Xenopus tropicalis: one gene and its partner. The protein of the gene in region 1 interacts with the protein of each later gene in a pairwise test. Links are inferred from orthologs where the notes say so. Each region holds a gene or a part of one and is shown on either strand. Other genes may lie near its edges.

What was found. The genes of interacting proteins can lie anywhere in the genome.
Region 2: the proteins of erbb2 (region 1) and gapdh interact in a protein complementation assay, tested with the Homo sapiens proteins (2 studies listed by BioGRID and IntAct, with this or other methods). The link is inferred for Xenopus tropicalis from reciprocal best matches to the Homo sapiens genes ERBB2 and GAPDH.

The regions. Positions count from the first base shown.
Region 1 is NC_030686.2:9,878,092-9,883,103, forward strand, and holds the start of erbb2 (receptor tyrosine-protein kinase erbB-2), read right to left. Parts: upstream 3,373-5,012; 5' UTR 3,217-3,372; coding exon 3,144-3,216; intron 1-3,143. UniProt on the Homo sapiens protein: Protein tyrosine kinase that is part of several cell surface receptor complexes, but that apparently needs a coreceptor for ligand binding. Essential component of a neuregulin-receptor complex, although neuregulins do not interact with it alone.
Region 2 is NC_030683.2:10,005,674-10,010,665, forward strand, and holds the start of gapdh (glyceraldehyde-3-phosphate dehydrogenase), read left to right. Parts: upstream 1-1,841; 5' UTR 1,842-1,889; intron 1,890-3,027; coding exon of another isoform or gene 3,028-3,124; coding exon 3,125-3,127; intron 3,128-3,206; coding exon 3,207-3,313; intron 3,314-3,414; coding exon 3,415-3,505; intron 3,506-3,596; coding exon 3,597-3,712; intron 3,713-4,348; coding exon 4,349-4,430; intron 4,431-4,992. UniProt on the Homo sapiens protein: Has both glyceraldehyde-3-phosphate dehydrogenase and nitrosylase activities, thereby playing a role in glycolysis and nuclear functions, respectively.

The DNA of each region.
Region 1 (5,012 bases):
GGCGCATAGCCTGAGCACTACTTCCCATGGCTTTTGTTGTTGCAGCTTGTATTAGGGAGCCCTTCCATGGTCTTTTCCCCCCCCTGTCCCCCTGTATTATTCCTTCCTCTGTCGTCTCCATCCAAACACTGCAAAACCCTGCAAAGCATTCCTCTGCACAATCTTGTCCTTACAAGCCTGGCTCCGTGCCCCGTGCCGCCTTCACACACACACTGACCTACATGAGACAAAGCGCTCACACATGCTGCGCCATGCTCCTGCTAGGAGACGCACTGTGGTTATAGGCTGCAGCGTTACGGCGATAAAAACGAGACATTTGTTCTGGCAAGAGCAGTGTAGTATGAAGCAGGCATTGGTATTCTGAGACAATTTGCAGTTGGTCTTCTTTTTTGTGTGTTTTATGAATATTTTTCATATTTTGTAACTATTGGACAAAGGCCCGCCCCAGTAGTGATGTGTGGGCCGGCCTGAAACACCCCTGGTGGGTTGGGGCTGACACTTGCACACTATTGGCGGGTCGACGGTGAGTTTGGACTCAGCTTTCCCTTTTGCCCTCCCTGCCCACAATCTTCTGCACCTGGAAGCCTCTATTTATGCCCACGGCCCTTGGCCCATCCACAAAATGTCGACCCACACATCACTACCCCCCAGTATGGCCCCCTGCCAGAAGATGTGCTGTGCGCTTGCTCTCACCTTCAGGTCTTGGTGGGTACGGGTGGTGACTCCGGCAGGGGGGTGAATTTAGGGGGCCCTACTGGGGGGGCAGGCCCAGATGCAATCACAACTGCTGCTCCCTCAGCAGTTACGCTGGCAGCTGGTAGGTTTGGAGTTTTAACAGCTATGTAGTTGCTAGGGCTTAAATACCCTAGTAACCAGGCAAATGTTAGGAAGCAAAGGTCCCTATACACGTTAAGATTCACCAAGCGAGTGGATCTTCCCCCGATATCCGATAAGCTGTCGAATCGGTCCAAGGGACCCATATCGGCAGCTACAATCGGCCTGTGTATGGGGACGTTTAGACTGGAAGATAATTAGTAGAGTGCCTGAAATCAGATATAAGCAATAAAAAACAACCATAAAAGGAAAACCTTACAATCTGTTTTTTGGTTGCCAGGGTCCGTTACCCCAAAGCAACCATGTAGCATTTTTAGACCAATGTGCAGTAGTGTGCATGCATATACAAAGCGGGGACCAGCTTATACAACATATTGAGGTGTAGAAAAACTTAAGGGGTAATTTATGTATCTCCTGGGCAGAAGTGCAAGAGCACTAAGGGGGGCAAAAGTGTGACCCTTTCTGTGCACCCACACACACAAATAGGGAGTTAGAGGGAATGCTGAGCCCTGACCCAGCTCCTGCTGATCCAATACACCAGAACCCCCTTCCCTTCTCCTAATATACAGGTACCAGCAACCCTTACTTTCTAATAAACCAACATCAGCACCGGTACCTTCAGGCATCAGCACGTGAGCTCTTACTATAGTGTCAGAACACACACCTCTGGGCTCGTAACATACACAATTGCCCTGAGCATCTCCCAACATGTTCATCACAATCCTCGACCTTCAGTAAAAAAATGTCTTCTGGTGCCCAAAAGCATTTGGTGGGTCCAAAAAATTAGTAAACTGTGCTTTTAGATTCTTTGCACTATATTGTGTGTGTTCTGGCTTCCAAATTTGTGTGCACAGCTTAGAGGGGACACTCTTTGGGGGGGCAATAGGTATTCTACCTCAATGGCTTTCAGGCTGGGCCCCTTCCAACACTTGCTCTGAGCCCACAGTTTGGTTGGGGGGGGGGGACACAGTAGTTGGCAGCCGCCATCAAGGTGAATTACTGTGCTTGGGAATGGCACATGGGGTGATTGCAAATGTATTGCTGCCCCTGAGATTTCCAGCAATTGCCCTTCCGTTGCCCGGAATAATAACTGCCCTTGGACCCCACTCGCAGGTCAGACAGTTATCACTTGGAATTGCTCAGTTGGCATTTCTGAGCAATAATTGTCTGATTTTGGGGCAGGTTTCAGAAGACCATCCAGGTCAATGGAGAGGCAATTATGTGTGTTTTGGGGGGAGAGCTTGCAATCACCCCTTGTGCCATTGCCCAGAGATGCAACTGAATGGTACCCTGTATACTATACCCCTTACCAAGCTATCTAGCAGGTTCTTTACCCAGAGTTGCTTTTGGTTATAGCAGGGGTCCCCAAACTTTCTTACTCGGGAGCCACAGTCACATGTAAAAAGACTTGGGGGGCAACACAAGCACCATAAAAGTTTATGGAGGTGCCAAATAAGGGCTGTGATTGGCTATTAGGGGCCTCTATGCACCCTATCAGCTTACAGGGGCTTTATTTGGTAGTAAATCTTGTTTTTATTCAACCAACTTTGGAATTCAAAAATAACTCCCTGGTTTGGGGGCACTGAGAGCAACACCCAAGGGGTTGGGGAGCAACATGTTGCCCCGAGAGATCACTGGGTTATAGTGATATATAATATAGGTTTATTATAGTACAGAAAGCATCACAGGTAGGAAAACACTGTACTTTGCAGAAACAAAAGTCACTGTTTTACCCTACAGAGCAGAGCAAACAGGGGGCACAATGTGCCCACCCATCCGGTAAAGGTACCCATACACGGGCCGATATGGGTCCCTTGGACCGATTTGGCAGCTTATTGGCCCGTGTAGGGGTAGAAACGATGGCCATGCCTGACCGATATCTAGCCAAGCCAAGCGAGCGGATCTTAAAGTGTATGGCCACCTTAACACCAATCTTCTAGAGATAACCCCAATGAAATCCTTCTATGCAGTTGGTCAAGGGCAATTAGCATCTCTGTCGCACTAATCATTTTTCACACTGGGCCATTAAGGCTATAGAGCACCTTTATTTAATTCTAGTCTCATTAATATTGCTGAGGTTCCAATGGCTGCGTATACAGGAATGCTTTACCTGCGTCCCCTACTGTTGCACCCGAATACTTGCGTCAGTTGTAGCGCAACCAAAGCTGGAGTGACTCAGATTGGACTGAAATCGCAGCCGATGAACTCCCTACTATATAAAGGTCACCCCCGATTCCCTCCAAACTCTTCCCCGGACGCGCTGTAAGTACATGGGCAGAACCTTACGCTGCGACCCGCACCCTCCTTACCTTCCTCGGCGGCGCGTCCCCTCAGTAGGAGCAGCAGGGCGCAGAGCCCCCAGAGCCATGGCCGTAACCCCATAGTGTCAGTGCCCCCGCAGTGCCATGCCAGCCCCCCTGCTGCCAGCCGGCCCCCCTGCCTGATTCTCTGCTCCGGGAAAGAAGTTCTCAGTTGCCTGTGTAGCTGCCCCGCTTCATTCCTACACAGGCACTTCCTGCAGGGAGGGGGCACAGGGGAGGGAGAGGCGGAGGGCTGGACACAGACACTTATAGGAGTGGCACTCACTTCTACTCCCTGCTCTCTCTGCTTAACTCACCCCTGTGGGGCTCAAACGTCTCTAGATGGTAAGCTCTTGGGCTCACAGCTGCTAAATCTACCCTCCCCCCCACTTCCCTAGAATATAGTCATACCCCCTAGGCTGTAGGCTCCTAGCATTCCTGGCAAGTAGTGACTGGCAGCTCTGGATAAGCAATAGATGCCCACCTACACAATTCCTTATTCACACTCACCTACATACCTTGGTCTTTTTTTTTATTGAAACCCATGTATGTATTAGGGTGAAGACACACTGAGCTACTAGTAGCAGCTACTTTTTCACAGCTACTAAACCCCAGAAAATCCCCTGCCATAGACAATACTGAGAATTGCCTCTGCTAAACACACATAGAGACAACTATCAGTAAATGATCAGCATTGTCTATTTTAGTAGCCACGACAAGTAGCTGCTACTAGTATCTCTGTGTGTCTTCACCCTTATAAATAACCTAGTGCAAAAAAGTGCATGGTGCACAAGTGCAAATGTGCAATGAAAAGGAAGAGCCCAAAACCTGACCAACCGGCCAGAATTTTCAGGTTCTTGCCTTTTGTCCAAGGACTAGAGAGAACCCCTTTATCTCTGACCCCCCAAGCTAGAAGGCCGGCAGGGGCGAGGGTCTTCAGGTTCCCTTCACAGCAGGGCTAGGGTTACCCCTTTATCCTCACCCTCCATCCAGAAAGCCTATAAGGCAGTGCTGGGCCCATTCATACCTGCTTGTCAGCGCCACCCCCTCTAGCCTAGGGCAGCAAACATGGTGGAGAATAGATCCCCAGGAGCTACAAATTAGGGGTCCCCTTTCCATTGCACCCTAGGCACATGCCTGTTCTGCCTACCCCTAGTTGAGGCCCTGCTATAAGAGCTCCATTGACCCCCAAGAGAATCTTCAGTCTTGTATGTTTATGGTGGGGCCAGGTTTTAAGGGAAAGGAGCCGAATGGCCACACATTATCCCCCTCAAGCCAGCGTGCAGATCCATAAGTGTATATTGCGCTAGATTGTAAAAAATGGATAGATCCAGATCGTAGGTTGCACTAGATCATAGAAGAAAAAACACAAAAATAAAAGCTCAGTAACAAAACAAATGTCTCAATATTGGCCGGATTTTAAAAAATTTCCTTGCCATTGGCCAAAAGGCTGGGGCATAAAAGTGAAAGCAAGTAAAGTGCACTATGTGCAGGGGAAATGTTGCTCACCCTGAGGTGGGCTTTTCCATGCTGCCCCCTTGCTTCCCGTGCTTTGGTGCAGGTGGGGGGGTTGCATTACTAGTGCAGTGGTCACAATAGCACTGTCTGTATTAGAAGAGCTGAAATTCCAACTGAAAAATCAGAATTTTGGCTCTTTAAGTGTTTTTTTTCCACCCCCGGTAACTTGTTGGGTGCCGCTGCCTGAGGAGAGTTTCTCCCTTTATGGCAGTGGCACCCCTGGCTACGTGGCCGTTACAGTGTCCCTCCCCACTGTGGGTTGGGGCATCCTAGGGTTTTCAAGCCTGGGGCACAAACATGCTTGGGCATCAAGCTGCCAGCCCTTTGTAATGATACCAGCTTCATAATGATACCAGGTAA
Region 2 (4,992 bases), on another chromosome or scaffold:
GCATCTAGGACTTATAGCTCAACAACATGGGTAGGGAGTGAGCGTTGCACACAGCCCCATCACTGGGGTAGCATTAAACCGACACTGTATGAACAGGAGAGAATAAAGATGGAGCTGTGTCATTGAGAGGAGACTGTGGGGATCATCCATAATGTACAGGTGGAGGGGGGACGTGCCTCCCTGAAAACAGAAATAACAAGAATGACTGGGAGGCGGATGCGCTTCTTTTACAAGGGTTACGGGAACAGCACGTAGGCATTCTAACGGTGTCAGGCTGAGGGGGCGGGGCGCTCTATCTGCTCACGCCACGATTTGTCACTGATTGTTGGTGGGCGGGGTTACATTGTCCCGCTTTGCCGGGTATATAAAGGCGCACTGGCAATCCGTTCGTCACTCTGCAACAGGGCACAGAAACGAGAGGTGAGTGCGGGAGGAGTGGAGCCTAGGTTGGGGGTGTGGCTCGGCAGGGTAGGCTTGGGTATAGCTCCTACTATATGCTCTCCTAGGGGGTTTCGTTTGCAGTTGCTAAAGGTACTAATGTCGGTGTCAACTGACAGTGATGGGAGTTGTAGTTCTGTGCTACTGGTACTTTTCCAATGTAGTGTGTTTGTGAGTAATGGGGTTACTGTATTAGTGGCTAAGGATGGGATGGTGTAAGGGCTGCCTGTGCTTAGATTGGGGAGGCTTTAGGGTGGGATGAGTAATGGGGTTCTGGTAGATATAGGGAAGTGGGAACCTTGGGTAATCAGGAGTCTGTGTATTAATGATTTGGGTTGGACACTGGGTGAAATGGGGCACTTCCTGCCCTCTAGTGGGTGGGTATGGGCTATATGGGTGCCTTTGGGTGGGATTTAGCTGCAGGGGGACCAATTCAAGGTGCAGTGGTGTGGGGGTTAATATTAAAGGTAGGTTGTTGGGGGCACAGAGGGGTGGGTGGATGTGCCCAATAGATGGGATGGAGAGTGACTTGGGCACGGGGTACCCTCCTCTTGTTCCCCCCCCCCCCACTAATTTCCTTTCTTGCCTTTAGGGGTTGATAACTAAACCAAGTGACACCAAAATGACTGTCAAGATTGGAATCAATGGGTAAGTTAAGGGGTTAATAACTTCATTGGGGGTGGGTGCTGGGGCTTAAGGGGGTAATATGCAGGTGAGTGGGGGGAGATGCTGGGGTATAAGGGGGTAATGGACCCAGACAAACAGCTGGGGGGGGGTTAATGGCTTGGCAGATTAAAGGCCGATGGGATAGTGTTCTCTGCACGGTTTAGCGATTGGCCAGTGTAAGATGCCCCTTGGCTCTGGCAGTTGAGGGGTTATAAGTAATGAAGCTACAGACCTTTCATAAATGGTTAATGGTCCAGGCCGATTATTCTTTCAAAATGGCTGCTGCTCCTTAACCCCTCCCCTGCCAGAACCATGCGGAGTGTGAAGCTTCCTCACGTCCCACTGAGTCACTGCTCCCCACCTCACACCCCAACCCCTCCTCTCCATCCGCTGCGGCTCCCCATTGCTCCACCTTCTGCCAGGAGGGGGGTACAGTAATGCGCATGGGGGTGTCCCCAGTGTCTGGCTGCTGATGTCTCTCAAGGACAACCCCAAGGTCACAGTGTATCCTGGGCCAGGGTCACCCTTGCACTGTCAGTGTCCTATTGATGAGCTGTACCTGGGGGGCTGATGCACGGCACCTTGGGTGAATCCCCTCCCCTCGCTGCTGCAGAATAAGGAGTAATTGCACAAGTGTGGGGAAGCTGAGTCACGTCCTGCTCCCTGGTGGCAGCCGCACGTAGGCACAGTCCCCTGGCTGTTTTATTCTGGTTAGTGACCATAATCCTCACAGCACAGAGTCTGACTGGGCTCTCGTGAACCTTCTAGAGACTTCTCTCATTAAAGTGGGACACTAAGATGCCCCCCCCTGGCATGGCTAAGTAGGGCTCCTATTAATAGAGGTGTTGATGCCAGCTGCTGTAACCCACGCCAGGGACATTATCATTCTGCCCTGCACGTCTCTGCCAGGACTCGGATCCAGTACTGCCCCACAATGGAGGCTGCTCCCGTCACTCTGGCCACTCATCTCTCAGCCTTACTACACACCCTCCTGTTTGTCCTCATTACGCGTCGCTGAACTTCACTGTTGAACTTCACCCCGAGCAAAGTTCAGCCCTGAATGTGCAGCCAGTCACTCGTATTGTGCCTCGAAGCATGCAGGGCAGTGTCAGGAGTCGCAACAGGCAGGCTGTGTGATTATTGCCTGTAATAACAGGGCAGTGGCAGGCAGACTGATTATTGCTTGTAATAACAGCCATTATTCAGGTTGTGCTGCGTGAGCAGTGCTTGGATAAACTGCCCCCCCCCCCCCAGGCTGGCTCAACTGAGTCTGGGTCAGTGGAGATTTCTGTGTCAGCAGGTGTTGTGCTAATGGCGGCACAGACCTTTTTTTTAAAGGGCAAGTAAACCAAAGTACATTAAGTTTGCATATTTCTTAGTGACAGATTGCCTAAATCATGTGCCCCCCCCTTGTGCCATTTAGAATAGTGGGATCCATTTGATCTAGGTCTCTGTATTCTCTATGTAACTGGCCCCTGTTTATTGCTATTCACTATAATGACAGCTATGTAGGGTGCCCTTCCCACCCTAACTGCTTAAAAAGAGGGGGTAGCAGTGCACCCCATTACTTCTATGCTGATCAACCAATTGCACCAGGCAACACTGCCCAGCAAGAGTCGGCAATTGCCAGTGCACTGTGGACAAACATTGGTTGGCTTGGGGGTTCCCCAAGCCAACCAATGAGGGGAACCAGCATGCCTTGATTCTATGGAGGGTTATGGGAATTGTAGTTTAACATATAGGGATCAAAGGACTAAGCTGTTGCATTGTGGTTTCAGTGCATTGGCTAAACTTCCCCTTTAACATCTAGCTGTGACGTCGCATCACTTATGATGCAAGGCTTTATCTTCTTACTGCTTGCCAGTGGCACAAGGGGTTAAGCGCATAAACATCTAACGATAGAAATCATTTTTTCTTTTTAAGATTTGGCCGCATCGGGCGCCTGGTGACCCGCGCTGCTGTTTTAAGCGGCAAATGTGAAGTCGTTGCAATCAATGACCCCTTCATTGACTTGGACTACATGGTAGGTGGCTCCGTTCATCTGCATTTTTGTGTTCTGGAGTATAAAATGCTCGGGAATTAACCCCTCCCACTCTCCGCAGGCTTACATGTTCAAATATGACTCCACCCACGGCCGATTCAAGGGAACAGTGTGTGTTGAGAATGGCAAGCTGGTTATCAATGGCAAGGCAGTCACCGTCTTCCAAGAGTAAGTGAGGTTGTGGCTCAGTCCTGGCCTGGTTCTAGACTGGGTTCCTGCAGCAGAATCTAATCACAGGGGGGATGTTTACAGTTCTCTCCTCTCCCCAGGCGTGACCCCTCCAACATTAAGTGGGGCGATGCTGGTGCAGTGTATGTGGTGGAATCTACTGGAGTCTTCACAACCAAAGAGAAGGCCGGTGTAAGTAGTTACACCCCCCCCCCCCATAACATTTGGCTTTCTATATCTAGAATTCACCCTGGACTTTTTTTTTTTTAATTTTTACCTGCAGTTGCACTTGAAGGGAGGTGCCAAGCGTGTCATTATCTCTGCCCCCTCAGCTGATGCCCCCATGTTTGTTGTTGGGGTGAACCATGACAAATATGATAACTCTCTTCACGTTGTCAGGTAAGTGTGGGGTAAAAATGGGCGTTCCTTTAAAGGGGGAGCGAACTACCACAATGCTACAGGCTGTCTGCAAGCTTCTGTATTACTGGGTTAACTCTTTAGTTCTCAATAGCTCATGGTTTGCAGCTTCTGTAATCTAATAAGGGCTTGTTTACTATAACAACCATGTAAAACTCTAAGCCTGAAGGCTGTAAATCCTTAAACCTTTTTTTATCAGGATATTTGTCTATACAAATACTGATCAGGCAGGGGCTCCCTCTACTGCCCATAATAAAATTGCAGCCTGTTCTAGGTTTGCTGCTTGGCCAAACCATTCTGTACTTGATGGAACCTCTCAGTAATTGGCTAGTGCTTAGGCCTCTGTAGGCAGGCATTGATGTAGGCTGCCCATTCTCTGCCACTTTCTTTAGCTCAGGAATGTTAATGCTGTAAGTCTCACAGGCAATTACTGTTCTACATAAGCTGGCTAGCTTCAACTGGCAAAGTGGCTCTGCCTTCCCAGCCCTGGGCCTGCCTTTACAGGGCCTTGCCCCAAATACAAGCAGTAATGTGTCCTCCCTATATGGGCTGGCCTCTTTACTCTGATGGAATAAGGGAGTGATGCTTAGTTTACCTTTTCCCCTGCTTTGCCCGCAGCAACGCATCCTGCACAACCAACTGCCTGGCTCCTCTTGCAAAGGTCATCAATGACAACTTTGGCATCCTGGAGGGACTGATGGTAAGTGCAGTGGGGCTTATTCAGCTTGGGACATAGAGCCTAAAGCAAACTGTCTCCCCCCTCACCCTGTATGAGTGACCTTAATGGAAATTATACCCCCCCCAAACAATGTAGGTCTCTCTAAAAATAGTGTGAACAAGCTTGTACATAAAAACCCTGCTTTGTGCAAGTTTTCATAACTTAACTTACTTTTTTGTAGTATGTGCTACTGGGTAATCCTAAACTAAAAACTGCCATTTTATGAATTAAGGGCCGCCCCCTGGGATCATAGGATTCACAGTGCACACAAACAAGCCAAGGCACACATACATGCTAGGTCCCATCAGCCAATGAATGGACTGAGTCCTGCCTTTTGCTCCCACGCTACCTCTGATCTCTGAGGGAGCACACAGCCCATCACTAAATGGTGGATGAAGGGAAAGGATGTAAAAGGGCTATATATAATAACGCTTTTTTAACCCATCACCTTTTTTTTTTTTTTTGAACTATTTAATAATTCTGGGGGTACAGTTTTCCTTTAATCTACATGCACTGTAGCAGACTGTACAATAGTGGCTGCCTA